Linked DNA regions of Alligator mississippiensis. The protein of the gene in region 3 purifies or fractionates together with the protein of the main gene of each other region. This does not show direct contact. Links are inferred from orthologs where the notes say so. Each region holds a gene or a part of one and is shown on either strand. Other genes may lie near its edges.

Region 1 (8,065 bases), on a different chromosome or scaffold from region 3:
TGAATAACTTCAGTGATCTCAGGGGTGCCAAACTCATCCTGGTCCCAGGTCAGATCTGGACTGTGGGGCTCCTTGCAGGCCACATCTCGGAGGGTAAGGAGGTGAGTGCTGGTTGTAGGAAACTAACGCAGCTGTTGCTTGCACCCCTTGCTGATGTGAGCCCAATGGGGCTCCGTGTCCCAGACTGGCAGCAGGTCCATGAATTTCTGGGATGCTGTTTGTTCAGGGAGTGCTGAACAGCTGATGTCTTCTACAGAGCACACCCACTGGGACAGGGTGACTTCCTGCAGGGCACAACCCGGTGGCACAATATTCCTTCCCCTTCTCTGGATCTCCAGTGCCACTGATCCAGCGGTTAAAATGTCATGAGAATTTAACCAAATTCACAAATAAATAAATACATTTTTAAAAAAGTATTTATTTCCCTCTCTACCATTTCTTCCCTTCTCTTACTAAACCTAACAGTGTAATCGTTATAAGGGGGAGCCCCCATTCCCAGTCCAGGCGTGCAATTGGTTCAAGTTACAAATTCAACCGTAGATGTAGATGCCTGATAGATGGGGGTGGAAGGCTTGGGATTCCCTAAAGCCACTGAATGAGGCCTCTGAAAGGTCAGAGTTTCTCTTTGTTTTCTTTGTAATTGCATTGTGGAACTCATTGCCATCAGATGTTGTAGAAGCTGTCAGTTTAGCCTGATTCAAGAAAGGGGTGGGACAAATTCTTGGAGGAAATATGCATCAGTAGCTATTGAGCACAGAAGTTAGGGGTACAGCCTCTGAATCAACTGCCTAGACCTTAAATGCTGGGGACTGCAAGTGAGAGAAGTGGCAAAAAACCCTGGTCATCCCCAGTTCACTCTCCCTTTCACTGTCTACTCTTGGCCACTGTCTGACACACAATACTGGGCAAGATGGACCTATGGTTTACCCAGTAAATGGCAGATCTTATGTAGAGGGCTTATAGGAATCTGTGCAGTGAGGAATGAACAGGGGGCTGCTTATACTGACACTGTAACTCTCATCCAGTCCCGTTATTAGACACTGGCCACTTTCCAGGCTCAGGCTCAGGAAACAAGCAGTTTTACAAATGGAAGATGCTAAGAGCCCTATTTCCTGCTGCCTATGCATCAGCGCAGGGATTGTCATTTTATGCATTTCATTCAGGGATGCCTCATTCAAAGAGGGCCCAGTTCTGACCAGGGGCCTGCAGGCAGTCCCACAATACAAATACTAACAATACTTCCATTCCCTGGCTGTGAAGGGTGACCACAGCTGCGACACCATCTTAGCTCATTCCCTCAAACCTCAGTGAACTGACACACACAAGACACCTTGCATAGCAGTAATGATCTATTGTGTTTATGCTGGACACTTGCCCTCCTCTCAGAGGTAGACAGGCAGGCTTTTTTGCTTCTCAGCCCAGACACACAGCTGGGTGGTGAAGGGCTTCATTCACTGTCACGAGGCAAGAGGAGCAGGAGAAACCAAATAGGGAGGATGCTGACTGAGTATGGGTGGATATTCCTTACCCCGTGGGGCACCTCCAGGGGCGTGGAGGTGTAGGTGGATCTAGAAGGGTGAGGCAGCGTGAAAAGCAGAAGCAACAGAGCAGGTGGTAGCTGTAAGTAGCAGAGGGTTGGGAACTGCGTAGCTCCCCTGTGTTCTGCTGCTGCCAGGGTGCCTCAGGGGGTGTGACTGGCAAGAAGCACTGCACAGTGAAGTAATCAACAGTGGCAATAACAAACAATTATAGTGATTGTTGTTATCATCTTCACTCGCTGCTCTTATTCTAATGAGGGCCACAAGGAGCATGAATTAATAGCCATAAGGCAGTTAAAATACATGTGAGACTTAGATGCTAATTTTAATAATGATAATGCTAGTAATGAACAGTTAATAAGTCTAATATGAATGATAACAACAACACCCATCCCTGCATGAGTCCCTGCGGAAGCTGAAGCAACCAGGCTGGCCTGTAGTAGGACAAAGAGGTGAACAGGACCCATGTCCTAGGGGAGACATGGGGTGGCACTGGCTTAGGTTGCTCCAGTGGGGGTCAACCTTTTTGACAGGTGTGCTACAAGTTACCCTGACACCCTCCCCAAGTACCACTCTGCTTCCCTCCATCTTTCTGATCTGCTGCTCTGCTTTCTGCTGCCCACCTTGTGCTCCCTGCCTGAACTGCTGCTCTGTTTTCTGCAGTCTGTTGTTGCGCTGCCTGCCTTTTCCCTGATCTGCTGTGTACCATGTACAGAGGCTACCTGTGCTGCTTGCAGTACATGTGCTGCAAGTTGGCCACGCCGGCCATCTACCCTCGTCTCAAGCAAGGGTCTAATTCAGCATCTCCTGGACTCTTATCTTCCATCCTTGCTGTGGCAGTAGGGACCCACAGGCTGCTGTAGTGAGTACCAAAAGAGATGAGAGAGCAGCACATGGTTCTAATGACTAGTGTGGGCAATACAGCCCCACAGTTCAGGGCATCCATTGATTGCAAGCCAGCTCCTCTTCTCTCACAACATACAAACTAATTGGCTTAGTAGCACTGTGAATTTGCCCTGTGTGCTGAAGAGTTGGGGGCAGGGATGGACCATCAGCCTTCAGAGACTACAGATCTTGGATGCAAAGTCTGTGTGTGGAGCCCTCAGAAATGCCAACTCAAATGAACCTGGAGTCTCGGTGATTCCATGACTTCCACCCAAACCTGCAAACTCTCCAGGAACATGGAGGAGACTGGTAGCATGACTTGGCTCCTGAATGGGCTTGGAGAAGAAAACAAAGCAGACCTCATTCCCTCAATTGCTCCCACCTTTTTGCTTTCCTTTGGAAAGTCTCCTGAGGTGGGGGGTGAGGAAGGTAGCATGGAGCCTTTGTTCCTCTGGACATTTTTAAAAGATTCATAGATGTTAGGGTCGGAAGGGACCTTAATAGATTGAGTCTGACCCCCTGCATAGGCAGGAAAGAGTGCTGGGTTTAGATGACCCCAGCTAGATGCCTATCTAACCTCCTCTTGAAGACCCCCAGGGTAGGGGAGAGCGCCACCTCCCTTGGGAGCCCATTCCAGACTTTGGCCACTCTAACTGTGAAGTTCTTCCTAATGTCTAGTCTAAGGGAGATGTCTAAAGGGAGATGTCTAGCCCCTCACATCTCTTTTTGTGATATTTTTAAAGGTACAATGACACTGTAGTTAGGCCACTAACCTAGTACTCAGGGGGCCTGGATTCCAGTTCCTGGTCTGCCACAGATTGCCTGTGTGACCCCAAGCAAGTTGCCTAGCCTTCCTGTCCCTCCGTTCCCTTTCTGCACACTGGGAACAAGTGTCTGAGTCTCCCTCACAGGGGTTTTGGGAAGATAAGTGTATTAAACTTTCTGGATAGAATGGGGCATAGCTATATCCCATTCTATATAATCAAATATAATTATATATATTTAAATAATAGTAGTAATAAAGATATTCAGATCGACACTGGGAACACAGGAGTGCTGGAAAGCAATGGTGTTTGGTGAGGCTTTAGTTACTTGGTCAGGCTCAGAGATGCTGGGTGTTCTTCCTGTGGTCACTGAGGAGAGTGGGGGCGGCAAGAGCAAGGAAGAAGAGGACAGGTCTGTGTGGTGCAGCCTCGTGACTGCCAGTCCTAGCTGGTTGCTGATGGATGGTTCTCTCCAGTGGATAGAATTGCTTTGCTTGAGGTGACTGAGCAAACAACGTAGGAGGCAGAAGACAAGATGCTCCTCTTATACGGCCACATTGTGGTAAAATCACAGAAAAGCTTCCTCTCCACAGCACAGCCACTGGATGAAACACCGATAGCCACAGGAACAAAAGTGCGACAGTCACAACTAGTGACAGCCCTGGAGGGACTTAGGATGAACATCAACACGGCCCAACATCTCCCTGCAGGCGCCAAGCTCCATTGGCCGGCACGGGAAGTTTGAACCGCCTCCGAACAGGGTCAAGTTACCAGGCCTATTTGTCATCCTTCAGGGGCGTGGGCCAGGCCCAGGACGCCGGACAGCACCCACAGACCCTCAAAAGCGCCCAAGGAGCTAGTGGACACTGCCCAGTGATACTCTGCTCAGGGACGGGAGCGAAGTAGGGCGAGGAACGCGGCCCTGCTAAAGTTACCAGGCAGTTGGGAGGGAATTTTTTTTTTTTTAATACTACATTTCGTGTTCCAGGTCAAATACCCCGGACCCGTTCCGAGTCACCTGGACTGGGCAGAACGCAATCCTCCCGAAACCGCATGGCCGGAGCAGGCAGAACTCAGTCCCTCTCCTCACCCCCAGGCATGGTGGCAGCCTGCCGCCATCCTCCTCCCGGCCGCCCACCCCGGGGCCCTGGCGGGCGTCCTCCCCGCCCCACCGCCTGGACTCGGCGCCCCGGGGGCTACGGGCCAGCGCCCTCCCCGCCCGATTCTCAAGTCCGGGACCTCAGCCCACCAGAGGTCGAGAAGCAAGACTGCAAACACCGGGCGCCAACACGGAGGAAACGTCCAGACTCGAGAAGGCGAAGCCGCGGGCTGAACACGGCGGGGCTGGGCGCAGGCGGGAGGCAGGGAGGGAAGCGAACGAGTCCGCACAGGAGCGGGCCAAGACTGCGGGGAGGAGCTCGCCGGGCTGTGACGACACAGGCGGGGGCGGGGCCGGGCGCCTGGGGGCGGGGCTCGCTGACGCGCAGGTCGAGGGGCGGGGCTCCCGGGGCAGGCCGGGGGCGTGGTCCCCGTGGGGGCGGGGCCTGTCGCCGCGCGGTGTCTGGCCCTGGGCGCCGCCGCCGCCGCCGCCGCTCGCGGGGAGCCGCGCCGAGCACTAGCAGCGGGGCGGGGCCGGGCCATGGCGATGTCCGGTCGCGGCGCCTTCCCGCTCAGCCCCCTGCCCCCCGGCGGCGCCGCGGCCCCCCCGCCCGGCCCCGGGCCCGGCCTCCTGCGGGGGCCCAGCCCGGCCCCCGCGCCCGCCACCCCCGGCTACCGCTCCCTGGGCCCCGCCGCCCAGTACCAGGTCAGTGCGCGTCTGGCGTGGCGGGTGCGCGGGGCGGGGGTGCGCGCCCGCCCCCTGGCGGGCACTTGGTGAAGCCCCGCAACAGCTATGGCCCCCCTCGCCCCCGCCCCGGCTTGGCTCAGGCCCCTCTGTCAGGACCCCCGCGCCTGCCCGCCCCGCCACATGTCAGCCGCCCGGCCTGCGCCCTGCCCCCGGCACCCTGGGGAGACGCAGGAAGACCACGCATGTGGGGAGCGGGTGCCCGCGAGCAGCCCCATGGCGGCAGCGCTCTTGAGCGAGATGGGCTGCCGCTCGCTCGGGGACTCGCTCTTGCGGTCGCGGGGAGCTGCTGTCAGCCGGGTGGTGGGTAGTTGATAGGCTGGTTCGATGACCTGCGCGGTCTCCAAGCAGGAGCCTTCGTGGGTTTTGACACTGCTAAGTCCTGGGGCCTGATGCCTTTGTGCCCTGAGCTAGGCGCAACGCTGCAGCGCTGCAGGTTGGGGCGCGGCTGGCGGGAGGGCTCCTGTTCAGCTGCTGCACCCTAAAACGTATCGGAAAGCTGAGCCAGTGCCACTCCAAAAGCCCAGGTGTGACGCTATGCGTGTGTGCTGCCACGATGCTTGGCTTAAAAAAGCGCAGGTGCCAGCTTGATCAGTAGGTTGCTTTGCACGCAGCATGTTGTTCTAATTTAAGTGACAAAGGCCTGGATCTGGCAACAGAGTCTTCCTCCAAAAAATGTGTTGCACGCCTTGTTCCAGATGGAAAAAGCAGCTCATAAACATACTTTCCTGCCTGTTCATCCAGAAGTAGCCAGGGGCTAACTGAAAGTAGAGCAGGCTTTGTAACTCAGCGCTAACATGGACCAGGTGGGCCTCTGTTATGGCAGCTTAATTCCAGGTCGCCTCATCCAGCTTCTGTCCTTCCACACGCAATCATCTGGCAGAAGTAGAGAAGCAAGCCCATGGCAGCAAGACTTATCTATAACTCTGCTCTCAAGCCCAGAAGCTTGTGGGCGGAGATCCCTTAGGAGTGGAGGCTATCATCCCTATTACCAGAAATTATTCCTGCTTGTTAAAACTGTTGTTGCAGCCCTGACACTGGAAGAGATTTGTCTGTGCTGTCCTCAGAGAGCGTGCCAGGGGACTCCCAGCGGAGTGCCCCCGCTCTCTCAAGGATTCCTGTGTCTGAGGACTTGCGCTCACCTTCTTTCTGAATTTGGCTGAGATCCTTTTTAAATGTCTCCGGGGATGTGTGGGTGGGGTGTTTCCTTGCAGGAGGTGTCAGCTTGAGAAGGGATCTCCGTTTTGGAGTGGATGAACTGGAGACGGTAACTTCAACTTGAAAAGTAACAGCAGAAGCTTAGTGGCTTCCTTAGAAGCTGGAGTTTCTAAAGGTCCTCCTGGCGCTGGAGACTGCGTTATGTGTCTGGAGCTGATAAAGCTCCTCAGCAGAGGCAGGGTAGTTGCTTTCACTGGGTTCAAGGGGGTGTGTGTATGTGGGAATGTGCTTGAATTCAGCCCGCCAAAGTGAGGGAATTTAACCAGAATGCTAGGGTTGTCACGATGTCTTCTAAGGATCTCAAAGCACTTCTGTACTGCCAAGGTGAGAATTGTTCCCACTGTACAGATGAGCTACCCAGTGCACCATTAAGATTTACGTGTTCCAGTGTCAGTCATTTTGCATGCCCAGCTCAAAACCTGGAACCTGATTACCAGGGAACCTGGGCAGTTGCAGCTCTCACTGACTTTCTTCTTAGTACTTTGCAAATCCAGTGTTGGCATTTCCAGTGGCAGACCAGGAAATGGAGGCATTCGCAGGTGGTGACTGCTTGAATGGGCTTGTCTCCATTGCTTGGCTAAGGTTGGATAGTGTACTGTTTGCAGATCTGGGAATGCGACACTGACTCCATTTCCCTCCAGAGTTGGGCCTCCAATATTTCCTCAAGATGGCAACTCTGCTCATGGTGTTATGGGATCTGGGGCATCAGTCAAGAATTTCATTCAATAGAAATCTTCTTGAATGTGATCAGGAAATTAAAAAAAAAAAAAAAAAAAAAGTCCAGATACTGTTGAAGTCTGTTTCCAGTTCACCCTTTGCATTAGCCATCTTTTCATTGTTCTCCATTGCTTTTATTGCTTGAAGTCCAGGGAAGTGCTGTTAGTAGTTGAATGTTAATGCACACATGTTGTGTCAGTGTCAGCAGCCCACAGTGATTGCCTGGATCTGCCGTATACACCCAACAGGAACTGTTGTGCACGGCTCCCTATCAGCACAGCGGCAAGATTCACTTGGAGGTCACGGGACTTGCCTTCTGTTTGGGCGAAAACAAACCCACTCGGGAGATAATTGAGCACAGATCACACTCTAAGCAAAGGTGGTGTGTTCTACTTAACATTTTCCATTTCCTCTCTTCTTGTCCCTTTTATAGCAGCTCCCAAGTCAATAGTTATATGTGTGTTTTGCCATTGTGACATTTACCAGAGAGCGGGTTGACTGGGAATGGAAAAGGAGAGGAGGTTCCCACTTAGACCTTGAATACAGCCTCACTGTTGGCCCTGGGAGTGGAACTGGCCAAAGCAGAGCTGCTGGAGAACCAGTGAAGCAGTCCTCTGTTGTCTAGCACTTGCAGTATGAGGAGTATAAATGTTTTAATTGATGCTCTTACTTTCTCCTTCCCCCTCCCCTGCAAAGCTAGTCAGGTTGCCAGACTCCTGCATGCTGGCAGGATTAGCTTTGAACAAGCCGAAGCATTGCTTGCAGCCTTCTCTACCAGGCAAGGCTTGAAATGGAGGAGAGTGATAATTCAGCAGGCTCTCCAGCTAGCTGCCCTGGCTCATCTCTATTCCCAAGCCTCTAGCCTTTCTTATTAGTTTGTAACAATCACAAAAAAAATCTGGACACCTTAAATCTAGAGACTTTCTGCCTTACAAACTCTGTTAAAGTGAGTGGAGAAATAACTTGAGTCACCTCAAAATGCTAAAAGGTGAGGAAATGGAAGTCAAGACAATATGCCCTATACCAATTTCTGAGCATTAGCTCATTATGGATGTGGTCATAACTAGACTCAGACTTGGGGGCTAGGAGGTACCACTACT
Region 2 (8,193 bases), on a different chromosome or scaffold from region 3:
TTTTATCTGAAGGCATGTGGTATACAACTAAGTATAGTATCTCTTTCCAGCACCCCCTTTTAAAAATTATCTTATCTTGTAATATTTCCCTTGCCAAACACTTTGAGAAAGCATACAGAGGAACATATTCTGCCTTCAATTATACACAGTGCGGCTCCACAGATTTTAACAGAATCACCCACTGGTCGGCTTGAGGGCAAGATCTGACTCCTGCTCCACAAAAAATGTTTCCTTAAAAGGTTTTACAAATACTGCTTGAGACACAGCAGGGGTCATGAATTAAGAACCACAGTGAGACAAGACAGGAGGTCTGGTTTCCAGTGTCATAATTTCCCCATCCTCCCCCCTGCCCCCTAAAAATACTCTCCCATCTTCCTTTGTCCATTTGGATATGAAGATTTTCAAAGCTGGGACTGCATTGCATCTGAGGACAATTTTACATAGCGGCCTGTTTCCAATCTTAGCTAACACCACAAGCAGAAGTTATCTAGCTGGCACTAACCAGAGAAATTACGCTCAAAACCCCATTTTATGGATGGCTTCAGCTAATACAATTACTTCCACCCCCATTGGCAAGAATCTCAGAAAAGAGTTTTGTGCTGGAAGTTATTACAATTAATTGTGGGGAAAGGAAATGGACAGGATACTTGGGTGGTGGTGGTGAGGGGGGACAAGGAATGGAAAGAGCGCCCCGTGAAACCCCTTTATAAAATTCCTGCCTGTTTTTCAATGACAGCAAGAGAGTCGCAATTTTTCCAGCGATGGAAACAAAGCGAGGCAAACTCGTGCCTTGACATAAAGGCTTCCTGAAAGGTTTGCACAGAGATAACGTGCCTTGGGACCGTTAAAACACACTAAGCCACAATCAGGAGACCAATGCTGTCTTTTTAAGACTGGGCGGCAGCTCCTCAGCATTTCAGCTATCCTCACCGCAAAGAGACATTCACAACTTTCTGCTCCAAAAAGCAAACAGCCACCCTTTTCATGAAAAATAAATACATTCCACCCTCATGTGACCAAGTGGATAATGCAATACTTTCTATTTCACTGGCTTTTTGAGCATCCTGACAACCCAGCAATGTACAAAAGGTTAGTCACTGATTGGGGGGGGTAGATATACTCTTGCTGGGGGATGCTGCAGTATAGATTTGGGGCCAGAGCGCATACTGTAGGGCAGCGACTGCCCACTGCAGAACCCAAGGACCCTTAGGATCTTTAATGCATTTTATCTTCACAAACCTCCTGTGAAGGAAGAGAGAGGTTTGAGATAACCGAGTCCAAGCTCCAGTCTCTATCCAGGCTGGGACTGCAGAATGGTTTTTCCCCCCTGTGGACTACAAGTTCCATGAGCCCAGTTTGCAGACTGGGACTGTGCTACAAACCCTCAGGCTGAGACTGGGGCCTGTCATGACAGGCACTGTTTAACCCTGCGAGGCACTGCCCAGTCCCCCAGTGAAAACCAGCCGCTGCCCGGAGTAACTCACTGTATAGACAAGACAGGTAAGTATCATTAGCCCCGTACCACAGCTGGGCATCTCGGCCTTAGGGGAGCACATACAGCGCCTAGCGCAGCCTTGTCCCAAGGCATTTTTTTTTTTTTTTTTAAGAATTCCTGCTGTTTGGTGCACTGTAAGGGGAAGAAACTCTCTTTTCACAAGAGAAAGCAGAAGCTTGGCTGAAAAGGATGAATTCTAGCAGAAGCACGGCCATCGATTAACCTCCAGGAGTTACCCCCGTGTCCCAAGTACTGCTCCCAGTGCGGATTCAGCCAGACTTTCCATGTTACAGGCATCCTTAGGACGCACTGGAGAAAGGACAAAGCTGGAGACGTTATGAAGGGAGGGGACTGAGCTTGGGTCCCATGCATCCCTGCCCCTCCCCATCCAATCCCACACCCCTATGCCATCCTAACCCACCCCGTCCCCAAACACTCATCAGTTCCAACCTGCGCATCTTCAGGGCAGATTCTGGCTGATTCACCATGATTTTGCAAGCCCAGATTGTGAGAACAGCACTGGAGCTCCCCCCCACCCCTTCACAGCAGGGTGATCTCTTCCTCCCTCGTCCCCCATGCCGCGGGGCCCCTTTCCCCCCCTTGGGGTCCTTGTCTTTCCTTCCACCCCAAGGATCCCTGCGGAGCTGCCCCCAGGGACCAGGGATGTTCTTCCCTATCCACCCAAAGGAACTTGATGGGAGGGGGCTTCACCCCTCTCCCTCCATAAGGCCCCCTATGCAGGGGGCTCAAAACCTTCCCCTCTCAGCTTCCTGCCCCCACTCAGGGACCTTGGGGAGAGGATCTGACACCCCCCCACCAACTCCAAGGGCCCAGCAGGAGAGAAGCTTCCCCCCTCTCCACCCCTAAGACCCCCACAAAGACCCTCTGGGGGGCTCCCCTTCCCCCTGCTCCCCCACAGAGTCCCTCCTGCCTCCCCGCCACCCAAGACCCCCTATGGGGGGGCCTCTTCCCCTCTAGAGACCCCCTCCCCCACGTCCCCTCCTAACCTCCACCCAAAACACCCCCTCCCCCACGTCCCCTCCTACCCCCCCACACCCCGTCCTAACCCCCCACCCCAAAAACCCCCTAAGAAGTGCCCCCCAGCCCCATCCCCACCTCCCCCAGAGGCCCCCCTTCCCTACAGGGCCCCTACTGCCCCCCACAACTCCACGGGGGTCCCATCCCCCCTCCACGGGCGCTACCAAGTAAGCCTGGGGGGGAAAGAGCCCCCCGTTCCCACGCATTGCCGGGCTGGGGGGGGGCAGGTCCTCCCCCCAAACTAGAACCCGGGCTGCGAAACTTTGCGCCGAACAATGAAAGCCCCGGAGAGGGAGCGCGGCTCCGTCCCTCCCCTTTCCGGCGACTTGGTCTCGCCCGGGGGTCCCCCCGTTCCATTTGCGCGGCTGAGGCCCGGGCTGCACCACTGCCCCCACCGGGGGGGGTGAAAGGAGGTGGGGGGCGAAACCACTCACAGCTTCACGACGTTCTGTACCACCGCCGCCATCTTGCCTCTGCCGCCTGGGCCGTGGGCCGCCCCGCGCGCATGCGCCGAGAGCAGCAAGGCAGCGAGGAACGGGGAGAAACCATCCTCCTATTGCGCACGCGCAGAGGCCTCCTCCCGTCCCACTCTTGATTAATAAGTACGCGTGCGCCAACTGAGAATCAGGCGCCCCCTCTACTCTAGTGCTGGGTCATCATGGCGCATGCGCCGAGGCTCACCCGCCTCTGCCTGGCCCTCGGCAATGCACATGCCCAGAGCGCGCGCGCTCGCCCTCGATGGTGTGGTACTGCGCATGCGCAACCCGTTGGGCGGGGTTGGGGCTGTTCTGGGGCGCATGCGCGAGAGGGAATGGGGTTAAAAAGGCGGGAAAAAGGGTGTGAGGGAGGGAAGGATAGAGACGTGATTGAGGGGAAGGGGGAAAATGGGGGGAATGACAAGAGCATTTAAAAAGAATGGAGGGAATGAGAGAAAATGGAGGGATGAGGGGGAAGACTGGAAAGATGGAGGGAGGAGGATAGACTGGAAGGAGAAGCACCGAGACTAGGTGGGAAGGATGATGCGTGATGGGGGGGGGGGTAGGCAGATAGTTGAAAGGAGGGACTGATCCCAACGGGACTCCCAACAGCCCAGTCCCTTTTGCCATGCAGGTCACTGGTGTGAGACAGGCCGATTGCTGCTGCCACGGGACCAGCAGTCCTCCATAAAGGGACAGAGCGGGCTGAGGGCATGAAGGGTCCAGAAAGCTGCCCTTGCGACACCTGCCCTGGACGTGCAGAGGATTGGTGCCGGGGTCTCTACTGGAAGGCAGGTGGTTACATGTTGCTTCATGCAAGGCAAACAAGGTAAGAATGCTGAAATGAATGGCGTTTTGGATGGCATGTGCACGCCAAGGGATAACTAATAGGAAAAAGCTTGTTGGGCTTTGACTCGAGGAGCAGCAGTAAAGGGAGTCTTGGGCAAACAGAAGAGACGGCGCGTTAACACTGGTATAATTCGTCTACACCGACAAAAAATCATACAGCGATCCACAGTGGACAGACAAGCAGTTGCCTTGGGCTTCCTGCAACAATAGGCAACTATTATGCTGCCTTTCCACCGGGTAGTAAGAGAACATGCAGTAGTCATGAACAAATGGGTAATCCAGGAAAAGCATGGACACGCACCAAGCTACACTGGTGTCTCTTTCCTGCTGCTTTTCCCCAAACCCCGGTAAGCACGCTGGCACAAAGGCTTACACTGCGTCTCTTCCTTGTTCACCCCAGCATAAAAGCAGTTTACGCTGATGTAAGTGTGTTGGATCCAGACCCAGAGGTAAGTTGTGTCCTCAAGAAATGAGACTCTTGTTCTCCTCAACAGCGCGTGCATAGATTGAGTGCTCTGCCCTCCAGTCCATTGCATGGGTTACGAATGCAGGACTGCTGTCCCCCCGGGAGGCCGGAGGGACAGCCCACACCCTAACAGAGTCATGGAAAAATATATTCGGAGCTGTTGACTCGCCTGCGTTTGGACAGTGATAAATTATTCAGGTTTGACGCTGGGAAAGTTTTGCTCCTGTATTTGGAAGGTAAGCAGCCGCAGGCTGGTCCTCAAAGCAGCAGAACAGAAAAAGAAGGTAGTGGGGAAGGGAAATAAATGGGAAAATACTAAAATGTGAGTATTTAAGGACAAAACACATGGTTAAGTAGATGAGGTTCTGGCCTAGACTTTAATGGCATGGTTCAATTTCTAGCTTAGTGATACATTCCTTGGGTGAGCTGCTTAGGGCTGCTCTACTTGGAGTGTGAACTTAAACCACGCCGTCTGCCATGTTTGCTCACATACAACCCAGCCTAGAATAAAATTCACATCTTGTTTTTTGAAAGGCAGGCTAAAGAACAAAACCAAACGTTTCTTGTAGTAAGTAACTCGGTAGCAGCAGCAAAAGAGCTGAACCTGCTCTCTCTTCTGTTGCCTGTAAGTAGTATGCACATCTGACTTTCACTTTTGCCTGGTAAGGCAGAAACTCTTCTTACCTTATTTCTTGTATATAAATTGCACTGAAATTTCCAACATCTCTTTTGGAGGCATGGTGCATGTTGTATGTGAGGAAAATATGGTATTCCTCATTAACTCTTGCAGACTAAGACTGAGGAGGTATAATCTATTTTCAAAGTGAAGTAAGCAGCCCCTGCAGAGTCTCACTGAATGCACATTAAGAGCATCTACATGTGGGGCTAGTGCGGAGTAGCTAGTGCACCATACATTCACACCCATCTTACTGCATAGTAACGTCCCAGGCTTGTAATACCCATCTCTAAACATGTTGGGTAAATCATTCCCAATCTCCAAGGGGTGGGTGTTGGAAGGATAACAACCTATGAATGCTTCTGATGTGCTCAACTGCTGTGGGCCCAAGGGTCATAATTGGATCTTGAACAGAGTAAGTAACTACACGGGCAGCTTTGGGCCAAAGTTCTCACTCTCTATGGGGTAACATTTCTGTGAGTGAAAGTATATTGCCTTATTGCGAGCATGTTTTCTGCAGCACAGCTGCACCCGGCCTCATTGTGACACTTCCTTGGCTTGCTCACTAGGAAAGATGAGAACAACCACATATTTGCCCTGCCTTTTTTTTTTTTTTTCCCTTAAATTCCATTACTGATCGTAGGTTCCTTCCCTCACCCCTGCCCTTCCAATACACAATTTAGCTCTTTGTTTCAACTTTCCCCTTCCCAGCTCCCCAGTAATTAATTTTGCAGTTGGAGTCTAATGGAAGGGTCTCTGCAATGCCATTTCAGCTTGCGATCGGAAGGGGGTGCCATGGCCAACCCCTGTGCTGTTCCTGTGTCGGAGGTGCGAGTTTGGCGGGACAGCCTTTCTCTGCTTTCTCATTGCCAGCCAGGATGGCTAAAGTGAAGTTGTTGAATTTGCTTTATTTTCCCGAAACGGATTGGCTGCTCTTTCATTTTTCCACAGTGGGGTTAAGAAGGCATATGAAAGCACCAGGCTCAGGAAGTGCAGAAACTATTTGGCCTTGAGCTATTTGGCTAAGTCATCCCTTTTCCCCAGGCAGCCACACTGCAAGTAGTTCCTTGTTCCCAGGCAGCTCTGCTTCACACCCACTAGATTGCCACATGGTACAAATGGCTTTGGGAACTTCAGCCAATGGTGATAAGCAGTGGGGTAGTTGTTCTAGCGCAAACCTCCAGGCTAAGTACAGACAATCAAAAAGCCCAAGGCTGAATCAATTCAATCTCCACGGATTAGTCTAAACTGTGTAAATTGAACCGATTAACAAGTGAACAGACATTCACTTTTGATTCCAGAAATGCAGCCATGTGCCTGCAGTGGCCCAAGCCAGAAGCTGGGTGGGGGTGAGGGGCGCCAGAGCACGCCTCCCTGGTCTGCTGGAGCAGATGGCTTGAATCTGGAGGGGATCTGGGACAGAAGTTCAATAAACCGAATTAAATTAGTTAAGTCTGATACTATATCCATCCAGGTTTATCTTATACTGGTTTCAGCCATTTTGAAAGTGGTTTATGGGCACTGAACTTCTGTTGTGTTACAGATTTGAACCGGTTTCCAATTGCTTATACCAGTTTGTGTAATTTCTGTCCCTAGCCCCAGGGTAGACAGACTAAATCACTGTAAGCACAGTGTGCACCTCTGCACTTTCCACAGCTGGATTTAACAACACTGGTGTATATATAGTAGCTTGCCTGCCAAAAGTAATGTTTTGCAGTAGGAGCAGGGGCAAATATCCAGCGCAGAAGAGGCCTGTGACTTCCACGCTGCAGAAACCTGGGCAGGGATGTCTGCACCCCTCATTGTCCTGCCTGAATGGAACGCTGTTTCCTTTACGAACAAAGTCAGAAGCACAATACTTGCATTCAGTGCCACACTTCATCTGCTTTGAATGCCCAGCTGACAAAATGCATTTCCCCATTTCTTTCTTTCCTCCATCTGCATGCTCCCTGCAATTTTTTTTTTCTTTTTTTTTCTACGTGGCCTCTTGGCATCTCTGTTTTTACTCCCCCTCGCTAAGAATTTGTCTTCCAGCCAGCTAGCTTGCCTCCTACGTATGAAGTTACATGGTGAGTCAATACCACAGTCATGATTGGAACCCTGGAGGTCCCTCCATGTTGCAACCATTATAACACCCTTCATCCAAGAGTCGGGAAGATACATTTGTCAGCTTCGCTAACCAAGGCATCCTCATTAGAAGTGGAATTGAAAAGAATCTGCAGTCCCCCCCTCATTGAGTCCAGGAGCCCCAGATCTGGCTCTCGCTGTAGCCTATGGCTCAGGCTTCTAGAGCTGGGAATATACCCTTGACAAAAATCCTCACATTCAGTTGCTTTGCTCTAAAACTCTTTAAAAAAATATATGGGAAAGATGAAATCATCTTTCCCATCACAGACTGAGTCATGATATGAATGCAACTCAATTAATACCTTTCCTGGCTGAATGACTCATGCTTCTTAAAACTAATGTAAAAAAGCAACGTGTGCAGGTTTGGAACAATCATTTGCATAGCTTTCTGCTTTGAGAAGCGAGGAAACAAAGCTAGTTAAAAACAAAACAGAACAATAAAGAACTGAACTGGTCAAAATGATCGATTCAGAGAGCAGAAGGAATTTGTCATTCTGCAGAAAGCAAGGGGCTAGGAAATTCCAGAAGCGGAGCAGATGTATTTAGTGGTTTTTGCTGGCTTTGTCAGGGAGGAATAAAGCAATACTTATTGCGACATTTTGAACGGGCAGGGAGCCAAGAAGAAAAATCAGGATAAGACTGAGCACTTAAAGAAAAAAAAAATTAAACGATAGCTTGGTTAAGTTTACTCTGAGTACAGCTTCCATCTGAGACCCTGTCAGCTTGACAAGAAGAGGAATTGCTAAGCAATCAGAGGGAAGAGCAGGCCAAAACTCAAGAGGCAGGAGTTTAGTGAACGTGACTCGTGTTGTGCTATTCTACATTGCTTTGTGATTGTGCAGGTTTTTGATCTGTAGACAGTTACGGATCTTGTTAAAGCTGATGAGTGACTGCCCTTCTTTCAGGCTAAAGCCTCGTTATGACAGGTGAAAATAATAGAAGTCACTGTTCAAAACACTGGGCCCTGTAGCGAGGCTGGATCAGATGGGTAGGACCTGAGGAGGTTAGAAGGGTTAAGACTGGAAATACAAGGGTCTAGATTAGGAATTGGCTTGGCAGGGCCAGC
Region 3 (7,348 bases):
ACTTCGAAAGTATCAATGGCAGAAAAAAAAGTGAGTCAGAGACCTAGCTCTGTCCCTATGGTTTTACCCCATCTGTCTCACAACTTAACATTAAATAATTAAACACATTGTAGTCTCCTCTTTGGAAATCACTGCAAGCTTGAAGCACCCCCACTGCTGCATGGAGAGTTCCAGACCTTGAAAACTATTAAAGTGACATTTTATACATTGATACACTCTCCAAAAACTCAGTAGCAGGAATTGAAGGGGAATCCAGAGGTGAGTGAGGAAAGCAATTAGAGGCCTTGAATGAACTCTACAAAGCGGTACTGTTTGGCTTAAAAATCACATGAATGAAAGGGACTTGAACAAAGGTACTGAACATTATGAATGATCCCAACCTTGAGAAGGTAAATACCGGTAAGGTACTTCTACTTCCATTTTTTATTATAAGAAGAAGTTGGATGTTCAGTTAAGTTTAAAGGAAGCAAGCTTAAAAACACGCAAGGAAATATTGTTTATTCAGCAACAAATCAATCTGTGAAGCCCATTGTCACAAGGCTTCATTGAGGTGAAGGGCTTCTTTACAGAAGGATGTTGACAAGAACTAGATGTTGATATGAATGGTGAGAACATCCACAAGTAGATATACGAAGCAGGATAAAACATTGTGTAAGAGAAAGAAACACTTGTGCTTTAGGACAGAAGCTGAGCGTGAACTGGGTTGGCTTAGGAATACATTGTTCTGTGCAGGTCATTCCATATGAGTTTCTTGCTCCTGCTGTGAATGGCTGTGGCACAGGCTGTGGCACATATAGAGTACTGGACTGCATGGACTACTGGGATTTCCTTTGAAAAGGAAATTGCAAAATGACTCAACAAACCAGTTCCAGTAGAGCCCCCCCCCCCCAGATATGAGACAGTTTTATAGTGCACAAGAACAATTTTCTCTAGGATTAAATTTCTTCCATGAGGATCATTCAGTATGAGTGGTGCTGGCAGCACCTTGAAGGAGCCCCATGACTTTTTCAAACCATGTTACTTTGGCTTCCCACTACTCTTGCTCCAGATGTGGGTTAGGTTTGCATGAAAGATATTGAAATCTTAATAAGAGACTGTTTTCATTTTACTGTATGCAGGGGAGCACATGACAGAGGAGGAACTGGCAGAGTGTCTTTCCACCCTGCTGGGCATGAATCCTGAGGGAGGAAGATCTGAGCTAGGTACTTGTGACCCCACAGGTAAACACTTAATATTCTGCAAAGCACAGAAGTTTAAATTTCTTCAGCTCCTTTAACACAATAATGCAACCTGCAAACCCTATTACCCTCAGTCCAACAGCTGTCAAAAATGTGCATCTGAGATTGCAAACGCAGTCAGAGTGCATGAATCAAAGATGGTGCGTAGCCCTAACTTCCATGGGTATTGGATATTCACGCCCAGTCTATGAATCAAGTGTGCCAATGTGTAACAGTCTAAAACAGCATCCAGTGAGAGTTTTCTGCAAAGGATCTCTGCCTGCTGAAGGTGCTCTTAGAAGGAACTGCTTAGTGGCATAAGCCCCAGCCTTGATTAAAATAAATTCAGAGTAGGGTAGAAATACCACTGTTTCATTCTGAGGTAGATCCATTAAGTGTCGCACAATTTTCTGGATGTGGGGCTTGCAGATGAGACTCTGCTAACCAAAGACCAGTATATTCTGCACATCCCAGGCCGCCTTTGTAAGAATTAAAGCTTAAATCTGTTCTTTTCCCCCTACATTACCTGAAACAGGAAGTCGCTTTAGTCTTTAAAGCAACTGAATAGTTTTTTGAAATCTGAATAAGTATATCCGAGATCGAGCACATCAATAATGACATTAGAATCATTTTAAAGGAATTCACGGACAAGGAATGAAAATAACCTTGTCACGATTCGCACGGTCAGAAATGGAAGAGACCGACTACAGTGCTGTAGATCACTTAGTCTGTGTCTAGTCCTCAGTGGCTGTAGGGAATGTGCTGCATCTCATAGGATCAGGCCCTTTTTTTCTCCTCGCAGGAGATGTATCACTTTAACACTTAACGCTATTTAAGACCTCTTTTGTATACCTTTGTGGACACTTTACCCCCAGACTACTGGTTACCAGTGTTAGTGATCGGGAAACTTGATTGTTTTGTGGGGGGTGTTTGTTTTTTTTCCCTTCCAGGTGCAGCAGGTTTGATTGAAGAAGAAATTCCAGAGGAAATCACAGCAGAGATATTCACTGCTGACATCCTTGGCTTACCTATTCCTGAACCAGAAAAAAACAGACTAGAAAAAACAGATGAACGCATTAGCAGTGAAAGGTCTGGAAAGGTATAATTGCCACGGCGTTCGTAGTTTCCTTGTATTTATTTTTAAGAAATAAAGAGAATTTCAGGTGTATGGAATTCCAGGGGATCCTATCAGATCGGTGTTATCAAGAGATTAGAAATACTCCCAAAGACTGGCCAAACAGCACTGCGGCTGGGGTGGGTGATCAAGAGGACATGGCTTGCTCCGTGCGCAGGGTAGGAAACACCCAGTAAACGCCCTGAAAGACGCAAAATCAGGAAGGGTTAAATGAACATGCGGCTAACACCAGCATCGTAGTTTCCATTGCCGGTGACGCTGCGGTCCTGCTCCCAGACCATCCAAGCCCGTTAGAGATGCATCGGTTTCAGGGAGAAGGAAACCTGAACTGGTGTAGTTGCTTTATGCCATTAATAATCCTCCTTCCCAAGAGGGTTCTTCCTGTGCCTGGTAATGCTGGTGTCAAAGCAGGTTTACATCAGGGCTCAGCGCGAAGCTGCGGTAATGTATTCCAGTCTCAGCACGTTAAAGTTTGTTCACAAAAAACAGGCTGTCAAATAGCAATTAATAAGTACAGTATCTGATGATATGCATTGATAAGGGCAGTATACGCTACGCCTGGATGGTTAATTAGAGGCAGATCCAACAAATCTCAGTCGAAGGAAGCGCATTCTATTTAGGGACGACGATTAAAAATTGAGTTTCCTTTTTTTGCTCCTTCGACTTTGTTTTTCTCTCTGGAAGTGTTAATTCTAATTAGCAGTGTAATACCAATGGGACAGCATCTTACTCGGTGTGTGTGTATAAACAGCATAATGAAGCTGATGCAAGTTGCTGTAGAAAGATTCAGTGAAGAGCTGTTGAGCACATTTCCTTCTTTACATCATCCTCGGCATCAATTTGAATAATAATGTAGACCCTTGTGAAGTGTTCCTTTCAGCCGCGCTGCTTGTAGGATGGAGATTAGCGTTGGATCGAGCAGAAAGAGCAGGCTATAAAGGGTGTCGTTTGCTTTCCAGCCGCCGTGTAACGAAGGGTCCGATAGTGCAGGGATGTGATACTAGAGAGGTGTCACTTTGCACGACTCCCCCCAGCCCTCTTTATTGATGTCTCCCCCCGTTTACTGATCCCATTGATGTCTGCTGTCCCCTTTATCAGCGCCATTGATGTTTCCCCCGTTTATCGATCCCATTGATGTCTACCCCTTCATCGATGCCATTGATGTCTACCCTACACTTCATTGATGCCATTGTCTCCCATCCCCTTCATCGATGCCATTGTCTCCTGTCCCGCTCATTGATGCCTTCCCCCCTCTTAACTGATGCCATTGATGTCTCCTGTCCCCTTCATGGATGCCACTGATGTCTACCCCACACTTTATTGATGTCTACCCCCCTTCATCGATGGCATTGACGTCTACCTCCTCCTGTATCGATGCCTATCTGGATAAATGACGCTCTCGACATACACGTGCATAAATGTCTCTCTCCGTGCCTCATGTCAGGTCCTCGGTGGCTCTAAATCGCCGCGAGTCCGCCGTCTCGGCGGTGTCAAGGTGTGTCTCTGGCTGAGCACCGGTCGCACGCTGCCGGCCCTCGGCGTGGCACAAGTGGCAGCCCCGCGCCGGGGCAGCAAGCACGGTGGTCAGGGACGAGCGCGGACCCTGCTCTGTGGTGTGAGGGTGGGGGCAGGGGCCACCTCAGGCGTGGCGGGCGCCCGTGTTTTGTGGCTCGAGGCCCAGGCCCGGCTGGGTGCCTGAGGCGAGGCGAGGCGAGGCGCGGCGCGGCGCGAGCGGGACCCCCCCCCCCAGCAGCGGCGGCGGCGGCGGCAGGCCGCGGATCCCGCGCTGGGCCGGCGCGTGCGCGGTGCGCGGTGCGGGCGGGGCGGGGCGGGCGGAGCCGGCGGGCGGCGGGCGCGGCATTGTGCGTGCGGGGCCGCGAGCCGAGCCGAGCCGGGCCGGGCCGGGCCGAGCGCTGCAGTCTCCCTCGCCGCCGCCGCCGCCTCGTCGTCGGCCGCAGCCGCAGCATGTCGGGCCGGTCGGTGCGGGCCGAGACCCGCAGCCGCGCCAAGGATGACATCAAGCGGGTCATGGCGGCCATCGAGAAAGTGCGCAAATGGTGAGCGGCCCCGGCCGGCCCGGCCCCGGCGCGCGAGACCCCGGCCCGGCCCGGCCCGGCCCGGCCCGGCCTCAGCCGCCCGGCAGCCATTGCGCCGCCTCAGCGCGGCCCCGGCGGCCGCTCCATTGTGCGCCCGCGGCCCGGCTTTGTCTGCGCCTCGGCCCGCCCGGAGCCCGCACGCGGCCCGGCCCCAGCCCCGGCCCGGCCGCGGGGCGCGGGGCGCGGGGCCCGGCCGGTGTGCCGGCCCCGACGGGCGGGCGGTGGGTGGGTGGGTGTGGGGCCCGGGGGCCGGGGCGGCTGTCTGCCTGCACACCTGCCCCTCTTCCGCACATCTGTCCGCACATCTGTCCACCCACCGACACCGCCGTGGATCTGCCTAACTCTAGATGTACCCGTACACCCAGCTCGGTCTGCATCCGCCCGTCTGTACGTCCGCGTATCTCACTCTGCGTTCATCCATCCATCCGTCCGTCCGTCTGTCTGTCTGTCTATCGTCTATCGTTTATCTATCCAACCGCACACTTATCTGTACACTTACACATCTGTCTGTCTATTTATCTATGCCATCTATTGATAGGCAGGCGGATAATTACATAATTATGACGATCAATTATGGCCTAGCAAGGGCGGTTGGGTTTTCTGTCCGCTGATTTTCGGGATGTTTCCTCGCAGCGCCGTACTTGTCCGAGCGCGCTGGGCAGGGGCTCGGACACGAGCGCCACAGAAGTTTGATCCTTTCTTAGTCAACAAAAAGGCTTTTTTTTTTCTTTAATCTTATGTATTTATTTATTCATTTTTGTATGTATTTATTTATTCATTTTCGGCCGGTGGTGTTTTTTGTTTTGTGCCATCGTAACCGTTCAGCTCAGATCTGCCGGGCAGGCTCGTGGCTTTTAGGATCGAAGTGGACTTGATGCAACTTAATCCTGCGGTGACGATTTGTTTTTGACGGGTGACCCGAGAGAATTAGTGAAAGCTCCTGTTTTGCTCATTTCAGAACTGGCTCCTGTCACAGTTGGCGTACGGGTCTGACAAGCGCTGACTTGTACCACGTAGCAACGTATTTGTTGAAAGTTTGCCGGGAATCGTTTTTAGCAAACCCAGGGTAAAGTTTGCCGGACGTAATTTTTAGCAAACTTAGGGTAAAGTTTGCCGGACGTAATTTTTAGCAAACCTAGGGTCTCTAATTGTTTCTGTTGTCTTCTCCTCTCAGACCAGTAGGATGGGAAGACACTGGGGAACTTCCAGTATTTTGCGAGTTAAACGCGTTTGGTGCTTTATAGCTCGTAAGCAAGCGCGGTTTGTGAAGAGGTGCGTATGCAGTGTGCCACGCGCATGAGGGCCAAACCTGCGTTTGCAGAACAGGGAACAGGCTGCGATCCCAGTTTGGATCAAGATGGGAGCGTTGCATAGTGGACCCCGTCTTCTTTGAGTGCTGGACTTCTGTATTAAACCTGACTGCAGGCGCAGGCCCCTTGGCACGGCACTCTCCAGAAGTGACGGTGGCTCTTGCTGGTGAAGGAGGATGTGCCGTAGCCTTGCACATGAACACAGGTGCACGCAGATGCTGCTGCGTACCTTTTGGGGCTCGCTTGTCTCAGCACAGGATTTGTCCCTTTGACAAGAGTACATTTAAGTAGCCAACTTGCTGGCAGAGGGACATATCTTCAGATGCGTTTGCAAAGTGCTAGCACGGCGAGCACTTTAAGCACAGGCCTTGATCTGATTGGAGCTTCTGGGCATTATTGAAACACTGCGAGCAGTAATAAAGAATAAAGACTAGGGGTGCACCGATAACTATTTTCACCTAACCCAAAAGCTGATGTTTAACCGTATTAGCTGATGCCGATCCGGTAACCAATATTTAGTAATAGCGTGAGGCGTTTTAACCTCCTGACATAAAACTTGTTTTTGTTTGTTTTGCATTTCTAACACATGCGCACACACGCCTCCTGCCTGCTCCGGCCCCGGTGAGGAAGGCGGTTACCACCTTATTCCCATGCACATCACCCCTTTGCCCATGGCTCCAACCCGCTCCCCACGGAGCCTGCGATGCCATCCCAGGGGTGTAGCGCAGGCCCTTGTGCAGACAGCGGTGCCGGGCGTGTTTGGAGCCCCAGATCATGCTGCTGTGTCACAGCTGGCGGGTCCCACGCAGCCGAGCCCCCCGGTCATGGGGGGAAGCCACTTTTGCAAGTGCACCCTGCCTGCCTGTAGTCTGTCTCCGCAGCAGGACCTGGTAGCCATCCCTTTGTTGCTGAGCGTGGCACCCTGTAACCGCTCCCTGGCGCCTCCCTCCCGCTGCTCACGGGGACCTGTAGTCTGCTGTAGGCTCGGGCTGGCGATGGGGCTCACCAGGATGCTCTGAGCACGCAGCCTTAATTATTGGCTACAACAAGCTAAAAAAGCCAATAACTAAGAAACTCATTTCTCTTTTTATTGGTGCCGATCCAATAGCCAACTGACGTATCGGTGCACCCCTAATAAAGGCATTGACTAAATGGTTTTGATCTGTGCAGGTAGTGCTGCCAAGTGTTACTTGACCAGGTTGCTTTAAACTACTCCATCAAGGGTACTCTATTGTAGAAAAACCTTAGGTGTGCATCGGACTAGGTATTTGTGCTTAAAATCTGTTCTGTTTGAGTATGCGGTGGAAGTGCTGGCCCTCTATAGCTAAAAGGGATAAACCTTTTTTTTTGGATAAAAATATTTATCGTTTTCTACTAAGCCTACCCAAAGAATGATCCCAGGTCAGTGCATCTCAGTGGGTTTGAGTGTTGTGTGTCTGTTTCTTACCCCCCACCCCCCCAAAATGCATCACTTGTTGCTTTCAGAAAGTTGACAGAAATACATAGATTTTGAGGTGGAATCAGTCATTTTTAGTGGCACTGAGGTGATGTTGAGAGGCCTGAAGAAGGTACCATGATCCCTGAAAGTTT
Region 4 (7,428 bases), on a different chromosome or scaffold from region 3:
CCTTCCCCATCCATCCATCTGTCTGCCTGCTTTCCCTTCCATCCTGCTTCCACGGGGAGCCCTGGGAGGCAAGGTCGGGTGTAGGGAACCTGGTCCCTCTGCTCGAGTTGAGCCAGCTCTGCAGAGGGCCTTGCTCCCACCCAGGAGGCAGCCCCCGTGGGTGCTGGGCTGGGTCCCCCCTGCTTCAGCAGGATGCTCCAGGTTGTCATCCCTGGGGCAGGTGGAAGAGGGTGGCGAGAGCTGACCCCCGAGCGCCTCTGCTGCCTCTTGGGCACAGCCAGAGCGCTCTCGCTCTTGTGTCAGCCCCAGCGCATCTCACTGTGTCTCGCTGAGTATAGGGTCCTCGGGAGCCTGCTGCCATAGGAAGGGCTCTGCCCTGTGCCCAGCGCGCCCGCTGTCCTCCAGTGCACCCGTGCACGGTGCTGCGAGCTGAGCCGAGGTCACGCCAGCTCCCTCCGTGAGCTAGTGTCGCTCTAGTCCTTCTATCGCCATCCTCTGCATGAGCTGCCCTGCCCCAGCCCTATGAGGTCTCTGTCCCCAGCCCCCACGGTGTAGAGGGCTGAGGCCCCCTCCCAGCCTCCACTGTGGCTGGCCCCAGGGGTGGAGGAGGGCTTTCCAAAGAACCCGAGGGGCCTCGAGCCGCTCTGCCCTCAAGCAGTCCCCAGGTGGATGGGAAGTCGCTGCGGAAGGGGCCTCTCCACTGCCTGACGAGCCCCCTGCACAGGGGCGAGTGCATTGGGTGGGCAGGGGATGTGGGGGCCTGACCACATCTCCGCGATGCCCGTTACCGCGCAGGCAGTGGTGGTCCAGGGGGAGCCTGCCCAGTAGCATGGCCTCTCAGCCCAGCTGCTCCCAGGCTGCCCCTCAGCCCGTGGAGCAGCCGGACACAGGTGTGACCCCCCCAACAAGGCCCTGGTTCAGCTTTCCCAGGGCAGCCACATGCTGGCAGGTGCCTGCCCAGATCCTCGTCCCCCAGGGAGTACGGGGCTCTGCGCCCCTTCTGCCAGGCTACGCACAAGCCCACCACGCTCCTGGAACAGCGAGTCTGGAGCCGGGAGCGCCTGCAGCCAGGAGCGCTGGCACCCTGGACTGAGCCAAGCACCCGGGGCAGCAGCTTTGAGCAGGGCAGGCGCTACGCGCACACCCCAGCCCGGGCCTCAGCCGCCCTCCCCACGCCAAGTAGTCTTACCGCAGGAGGGGGGTGTTGAGGTACAGGGCTCTTTGCTTTGGGGAGGGGGTGGACACCTGCCCTGTCCCTGCAGCCAGGCTCCCCCAGGCAACAGCTGCTCCTGGAAACACAGGGCTTGGGCACGGTCTGGTGCAGAAGTGGCCAGCAGCTGTCCTGGGTCTGGGTCCCCTGGGGCCTCTGCTGGCCGGCTGCCCTCAGAGGGGGTTGTGCTCAGGGAGCCAGGCCCCCTCCATGGACCACCGCTCCTTCCAGACCCACCGCAGGCTGCTGGGCTGCAGCTGTTTGTCACAAATACCGCTGCAGCAGGGGTTGCCGGCCCAGGAAACCTCAATTGTTTTGTTCCACGGTCAATGAAAAAGCCTTCCCGTCGCCCCCGACACTGGGCTCCAGCCCTGTCGAGCTCTGCCCCATGTTCAGCAACGGCCCTGCCGGGCTAAAGTGCTACTTATCTTTAAGAGCTTTTGCAATAAGTCTTTTTTTTAATGATGATTATTATTTTTTTAATCTTTCTTTTACTTTTATTGTTGTTATTTCCATGTCCTGACCAAAATTAGGAATTGGGGGGGTCAGTCCTTTGTATCCTGCAGTCACCTGAAGACAAATGGGTCGGCCACGTCCATAAATTTTCTTATGGATCTTTCTTGCAGTTTTGTTGCTTTTCATTTTATTTTTTGGTTTTGTTCTCTCTCTCTCTCTCCCTCTCTCTCTCTTTCTCTAAAGCTTTTAAAGATGGGGCTTGGATTTGACCTCGATGCTCACCTGTTGAGGCATACAATTTTTTTATTTGTTTGTCTGTTTTTATTATAATCATCCTCATTTTATATTTCTTATATATAATATATATTACTATATATATATATGTACATATATATATATATATACCTCTATATGCGCCATATCAGTGTAGATACCCATCCAGTAGCATTTAGGCCTTGATATTGTGCCATTTTCTGTTACCGATCTCTGAATGCCTTCAAGTGTATAAAGTGTTGAATTATCTCTGGTATCTGTACTATGTACACACATTTTCATAGGAAGCACAATAAGATGACAGATGCATTGTACATCAAACCTGCTACTCTTAGCAATGATATAAAGGATGGTATAAATCATGAAGACAGCCTTCTTCTCTCTTGCTGGGCTGCAGGAATCAATCTCCCAGGGGCGGGTAGGCACTGCACACAGGCTGGGCTCCCTGCAGGGCTGAGGTGGGCTTCTCAGCCGGCCGTGGAGCGGGGCCGTGATGCGAGAACAAGCTCCGGCCCTGCCCTAAGTGCACGCTTAGATTGTGAGAGGCCCAGAGACTCCAGGCGTGCTTTTGTAACAGCTCACTTAGATCAGGGGGTCCCAAAGGAGGGGCTGCTGGAAGCACTTCCAGTCCAAGGGACATCTTTTCAACTATTTACTGGCTTTGTCCTCTGGCGGCGAGTCAGCGATTGGGGAGGTTTGAGCAAAAGCAGAGTCTGTTTTCAAGCGTGTAGGAAACACACTTTTCCCATTGTTAGCGTGAGCCCGCTAGCCTTTTACCGGGGTCGGTTTGGGGCAAGAACCTGACACTGAAGGAAGAGCCTGTCTCACTTGTCTGACTTAGTAGCCCTTGTGCATGCAGGACCAAGTGTACTGTGCAGACTGGGACATAAACAAGAGCTCTGCCCAAAAGCCTTTTCAGCCGAGTGTTTCTCTGGAACAAAGAGCAGTGCATATAAATTATGCTTGTGACCCACTTCTGTTGGGCCGGGCTGGGGCTAGGCTGGCCAGGAAGAGGCGGTTTTTGTCTAGGAGAGGAATGGTAGAAGCAACATCCTCTGAAAGGAGTTGACAGACCTAAATGAACTGGAGCCAGCCGTGAAGCAAACCCCAAGTGCAGGCATAGCATAGCAATGAGAGGAGCGGATCGCACCCGCTCCTGGGGCTACCGCAGCGATCTGAGGACCGGCGCGGCCGCGGCACGCAAGCCGTCGGCAAGTGCTGCCATCAAGGGCGCGCCGCGCCTTTGCGCACGGTCCCTGGCGGCACGAAGGATACAGCTCACTCCCACCAGCCTCCACCTCATGTCAGCATTTCGGCACGGAGCTGGGACCTGGGTTGTGAGGCAAGAGGGACCCGCGCCGGGCAAGGGGCAAGGGCCTGCGGGCTGGGCCAGCGCACGGGCAGGGCGCGGCACAGACGCCCCAGCTTCCTGCCCGGGCTGCTGTGGGGGGGCCAGTCGCTGCCACCGGCCGTGGCCCTGCAGCCCGCGGTCGCTGTCACGGTGCGGCGCCGCGCTGCAATAAGGGTGCGGAAAAACTCCAGCGGGTCCAGAGAAGAGGCGCCCCTACGATGAGGGACTTGCAAGGCAAGCCAGAGGCGGAGAGGCGGAGGGACTTCGGTCTCAAGAGACGGCGGGGAGGCGACTTGATAGCGGCTTACTGCTATCTCAGAGGAGTGCAGCGGGAGCTCGGGGAACAACCCCCGCGAAGACCAGGACCAATGGGTGCAAACTCCTGCAAGGCCGCTTCAGGCTTAATAGCAGGGAAAACTCCTTCACAGCCCGGGTGTCCCGAATAAACTCCCTCCGGAGGTGTGCAGTCCCCTACCCTGGAGGTTTCCCAGAGGAGCCTGGACAGTCACCTGAGCCCAGCTGTCTGCCGGCCTAGTGCCACCTCCACCGCGTGCACCCATTGCTCCTTCCGCCACCGCGAAGACCTGCCTAAGCGCCCCGCCCCGCCCCGCCAGAGGGCGCGCGCCGCCGCCCCCGGGGCGCTCTAGCCCCGCCTCGGCGCCGCGCTCTATGGTCCGCTTCCGCTTCCGGCGCGGCGCCCCTCCCGCCGCCCCCTTTGTGCGGCACAAGATGGCGGCGCGGGCGGGCTTCCAGGCCGTGGCTCCGAGCGGCGGCGGCGGCGGGGCGGCCGCGGGGGCCGGGGCGCTGGGGCCGGGCGCGCCGGGGCCCCCCGTGCGCATGGGGCCGGCGCCGGGCCAGGGCCTTTACCGCTCCCCGCTGCCGGGGGCCGCCTACCCGGTATGGGGGGGGGAGGGGAGGCCGGGGGGGCCGGGCCGCGCGTGGGCCCGCCACCGACCGGCCCGTGTGTTTGTCTCCGCAGCGCCCGGGCCTGCTGCCGGGCAGCCGCCTGGCACCGCAGGGCCCGGCCATGGGCCCGCCCGGCTACGGCGGGAGCCCCGCGGTGCGGCCCGGCATGGCCCAGGCCGGCCTGGACCAGTCGCGCAAGCGCCCGGCGCCGCAGCAGATCCAGCAGGTGCAGCAGCAGGCCGTGCAGAACCGCAACCACAAGTAAGGGCCCCCGCGCCCGCCCGGAGCCGTGTCCGCGAGCGGGAGCCGCGCTCGCCTGCCTAGGCTGCGGTCTCGGGGGTGGGGGTGGGGTCGCTGGGTGGCGGCGGGCGGTGATTTCGGGCGGCGGGCCGGCCGCGCTTCGAGTTTTGGCAAGCTGTCGCTGCCCCGTCCCTGGTTGACACCTTAGGACCAGAAGTCCTCACCCTTGAGCTTTGCCACCAGGAGCCCCTGAGGACTGGGGCGATGCCTGCGGTCCTCCCCTTTCTCTCTCCGCCCCCCCTTTCCTCCTCATCTGTGTTACCCGGGGCGCGGGGAGGCAGGAGCAGCTCGAGGGCAGAAGCCCCTTCCCGTTGGGGCTCGGGGTGGGTGGGACTTGCTGCTGCGGCTGTGCCGTTCTGCCGGTGGCTTCCCCTGGGTCCTACTGCTCCTGGTTCCTGTCATCTTTGACAGGCAGCCAGGAGCAGATTCATATTCATTTTGTACATTTTTTTTTTTTTTAGGGGACCTGCGGGCCGTATTTTGCCCGCCCCCGAATTAGGTAGAAATAACGGTACGCAGATGGTACAGCAAGGGCAGCTCTGGGTTGGTTGGGCTTTTTTCTTTTTTAACTTCATAGCAGTCATTGTGCCTTGGTGAGCGGTGGCAGCCCAACGTTATCCGTCGGTTGAGAAAAGGATTGACTGCAAAATCTATCAATCGATGTTAAATCAAGAGTGCGGAGTCGCTTTGTACCAAAGTAAAATACTGCCCCCAGCTCAGTGCAGCCCTGGTTCCCCTGGGAGACCGGAGATGTTCAGAGACCCGGGGGGTCTCAGTGCTGCAGAGCTTGCTGTGCCGGAGCCGAGTGCCAGCCCCGCTGTGGCTAGGCGCCGTATGCGTGGGCTGACAGTATAACAGCTGCACTGGAGAGGCCAGGGCCAAGGATGACCCAGAGCATCTCGCAACACAGTTGTAGGTCTGAGGGTAAAGCCCCTTCCGGTCTGAGGGGCAAAGGGGTTGCCACCCTAATGCATGTGTCTTTTTTTACGCAGCGCTAAGAAGAAGAAAATGGCTGACAAAATTCTACCTCAGAGGGTGAGTGTGGCGCGTGCGCGCAGTCTCCAAGCTCTCAGCGGTTTGAGCGGCGTGTTTGACTGGCTTGTGCTTTGCTGCAGATTCGTGAGCTGGTACCCGAATCTCAGGCCTACATGGATCTGCTGGCATTTGAAAGGAAACTGGACCAGACGATCATGAGGAAACGGTTGGATATCCAGGAGGCCTTGAAACGACCCATTAAGGTAGAGGAGGAGAGCGGCTTACGCCCTTTGTCTTGCCCAGACGTGGGATTAGTTTACATGGCAGCGTGCTGGGGAGGTGAAAGGCAGAGGGAAAGCGTCTTGGCTGCGGGCATGGCATGGACGGGGTTATTGGCATTTAGCGTTTAGGGTTTTGCCATTAATGTTTTGCTGATACTTTCTTAGCAAAAACGAAAGCTTCGCATCTTCATTTCCAACACTTTCAATCCGGCCAAGTCGGATGCAGAGGATGGTGAGGGGACTGTTGCCTCGTGGGAGCTCAGGGTGGAAGGACGTCTGCTAGAGGATGTGAGTGCGAGAGCTGCAGCTCCTTTTGGGAGGCCAAGGGAGGTGCATCAGTGTTCGGATAATGTGGGTTGAGTGGGCATAAGATGGGAGTCCCTTGCTAGTGGGTTGTGATTTAAAAGGTTTGGACTTGCAAGGGCAGACCAGCTCTTTAGAGGCTGAGGCTGTAACTAGGGGCCTCCTTGGTGTTCAGTAAGAATGAAACAGAAATCTGTTGGGGGAGGGTAAGGGTAAGAGAGCCGTGCCTGGTTCTCCAGCCTGTGGATAGGGATGTTTCTAAGGCAGATTTATGGGGAAAGGGATAAAACACACAGTAAAGAGGCAAGTGTTCTGTGGGCTTCAGGTCATCATCTTCATCAGCCCTGTTATGTATGCTCAATGGCTGGGGTGGGCAGCCATGACACTCTTCCTCTTCTGTGCTGCTGCAGTCAGCTCTGTCCAAATATGATGCCACCAAACAGAAAAGGAAGTTTTCATCCTTCTTTAAGTCTCTGGTCATCGAGCTGGATAAAGACCTGTATGGCCCAGACAATCACTTGGTGGAGGTGAGCTGTCCTTCTTACTGTCCCTGAGGGAGGGCTGCAGTGTTGGCAGTGGGGAGGTGCGTGTCTTGTTCCTGGGAGATGTGGTTTTGTCTAGGGGCTGGCACAAAGGGGTGGGCCAGGAACTCGAGAGGTTGATCCTAACTGTGCTGCCGGTTTGTTGCGAGTTTGGGACATGTTGTTAACATTTGTGAAATGGGAAGGATGCCGAGTTAAATCTTGAGTGGGGGCTGGTGCCTGTTGCAGAAGAGAATGAATTTTTTAGGTCTGCAGCTTTCATAGTTTATGAATCTCTTTAAATCTTGAGATGAAAGGTAGCTCCTCTTTGAACTACAAATCATTACTAGAATATCAGTGTGCCTCTGGAGCGTGAGAAGTGCCGAACTACAAAGCATGATGCTGCGGGATCATGGAGCACTTGCGTGGCAGTCGTGTACGTGTGTTCTCAGTTCTAGCCACCTGGCTCAGCCGCCTCAGATCTGTAACAGTGCAGGCAGTGGATGAAGTCTGTTGTCCATACGAGTAGCTGTTGCATAACACAGCATAAGTGCCTGTCCTCCATTTCTCCGTACTCGGAGTAAGGCTGATAACTCGGGGAAGGCAGCAGAGTATGTCCTGCCCTGCTGTCACCACTGAGGGTCTTGGTCCTGAGGGATTTCTGTGCACAGTTTACCTCTGAACACAGGGCCGGAAGGGCTCCTTGCCATCGTGTCCACTCTTCTGCTGTGTTGGGCACAAGGTTGTATCACGTTCCATCTTACAGCCATTAGTCTTGTTTGCCTCCTCTGCTCCCGGTGGAAGGCTGTTCCAAACCAATTGATTGTTCTGACACGTTACAGCTTTCTCAAT

The links.
Region 1: the proteins of BCL7A (region 3) and SMARCD2 purify together in Homo sapiens (affinity purification with mass spectrometry; 5 studies listed by BioGRID and IntAct, counting the BioPlex papers as one, with this or other methods). This does not show direct contact. The link is inferred for Alligator mississippiensis from reciprocal best matches to the Homo sapiens genes BCL7A and SMARCD2.
Region 2: the proteins of BCL7A (region 3) and DPF2 purify together in Homo sapiens (affinity purification with mass spectrometry; 3 studies listed by BioGRID and IntAct, counting the BioPlex papers as one, with this or other methods). This does not show direct contact. The link is inferred for Alligator mississippiensis from reciprocal best matches to the Homo sapiens genes BCL7A and DPF2.
Region 4: the proteins of BCL7A (region 3) and SMARCD1 purify together in Homo sapiens (affinity purification with mass spectrometry; 5 studies listed by BioGRID and IntAct, counting the BioPlex papers as one, with this or other methods). This does not show direct contact. The link is inferred for Alligator mississippiensis from reciprocal best matches to the Homo sapiens genes BCL7A and SMARCD1.

Annotation. Positions count from the first base shown.
Region 1 is NC_081827.1:170,136,256-170,144,320, reverse strand, and holds the start of SMARCD2 (SWI/SNF-related matrix-associated actin-dependent regulator of chromatin subfamily D member 2), read left to right. Parts: upstream 1-4,760; 5' UTR 4,761-4,826; coding exon 4,827-4,991; intron 4,992-8,065. UniProt on the Homo sapiens protein: Involved in transcriptional activation and repression of select genes by chromatin remodeling (alteration of DNA-nucleosome topology).
Region 2 is NC_081838.1:4,098,385-4,106,577, reverse strand, and holds the start of DPF2 (zinc finger protein ubi-d4), read right to left. Parts: upstream 3,107-8,193; 5' UTR 3,000-3,106; coding exon 2,968-2,999; intron 1-2,967. UniProt on the Homo sapiens protein: Plays an active role in transcriptional regulation by binding modified histones H3 and H4. Is a negative regulator of myeloid differentiation of hematopoietic progenitor cells. Might also have a role in the development and maturation of lymphoid cells.
Region 3 is NC_081833.1:2,844,159-2,851,506, forward strand, and holds the start of BCL7A (B-cell CLL/lymphoma 7 protein family member A), read left to right. Parts: upstream 1-4,212; 5' UTR 4,213-4,317; coding exon 4,318-4,409; intron 4,410-7,348. Other genes in the region: CFAP251 (cilia- and flagella-associated protein 251), read left to right, coding at 1,119-1,220, 2,168-2,322.
Region 4 is NC_081838.1:5,932,024-5,939,451, forward strand, and holds the start of SMARCD1 (SWI/SNF-related matrix-associated actin-dependent regulator of chromatin subfamily D member 1), read left to right. Parts: upstream 1-4,011; 5' UTR 4,012-4,019; coding exon 4,020-4,187; intron 4,188-4,269; coding exon 4,270-4,457; intron 4,458-5,488; coding exon 5,489-5,531; intron 5,532-5,611; coding exon 5,612-5,734; intron 5,735-5,917; coding exon 5,918-6,040; intron 6,041-6,465; coding exon 6,466-6,582; intron 6,583-7,428. UniProt on the Homo sapiens protein: Involved in transcriptional activation and repression of select genes by chromatin remodeling (alteration of DNA-nucleosome topology).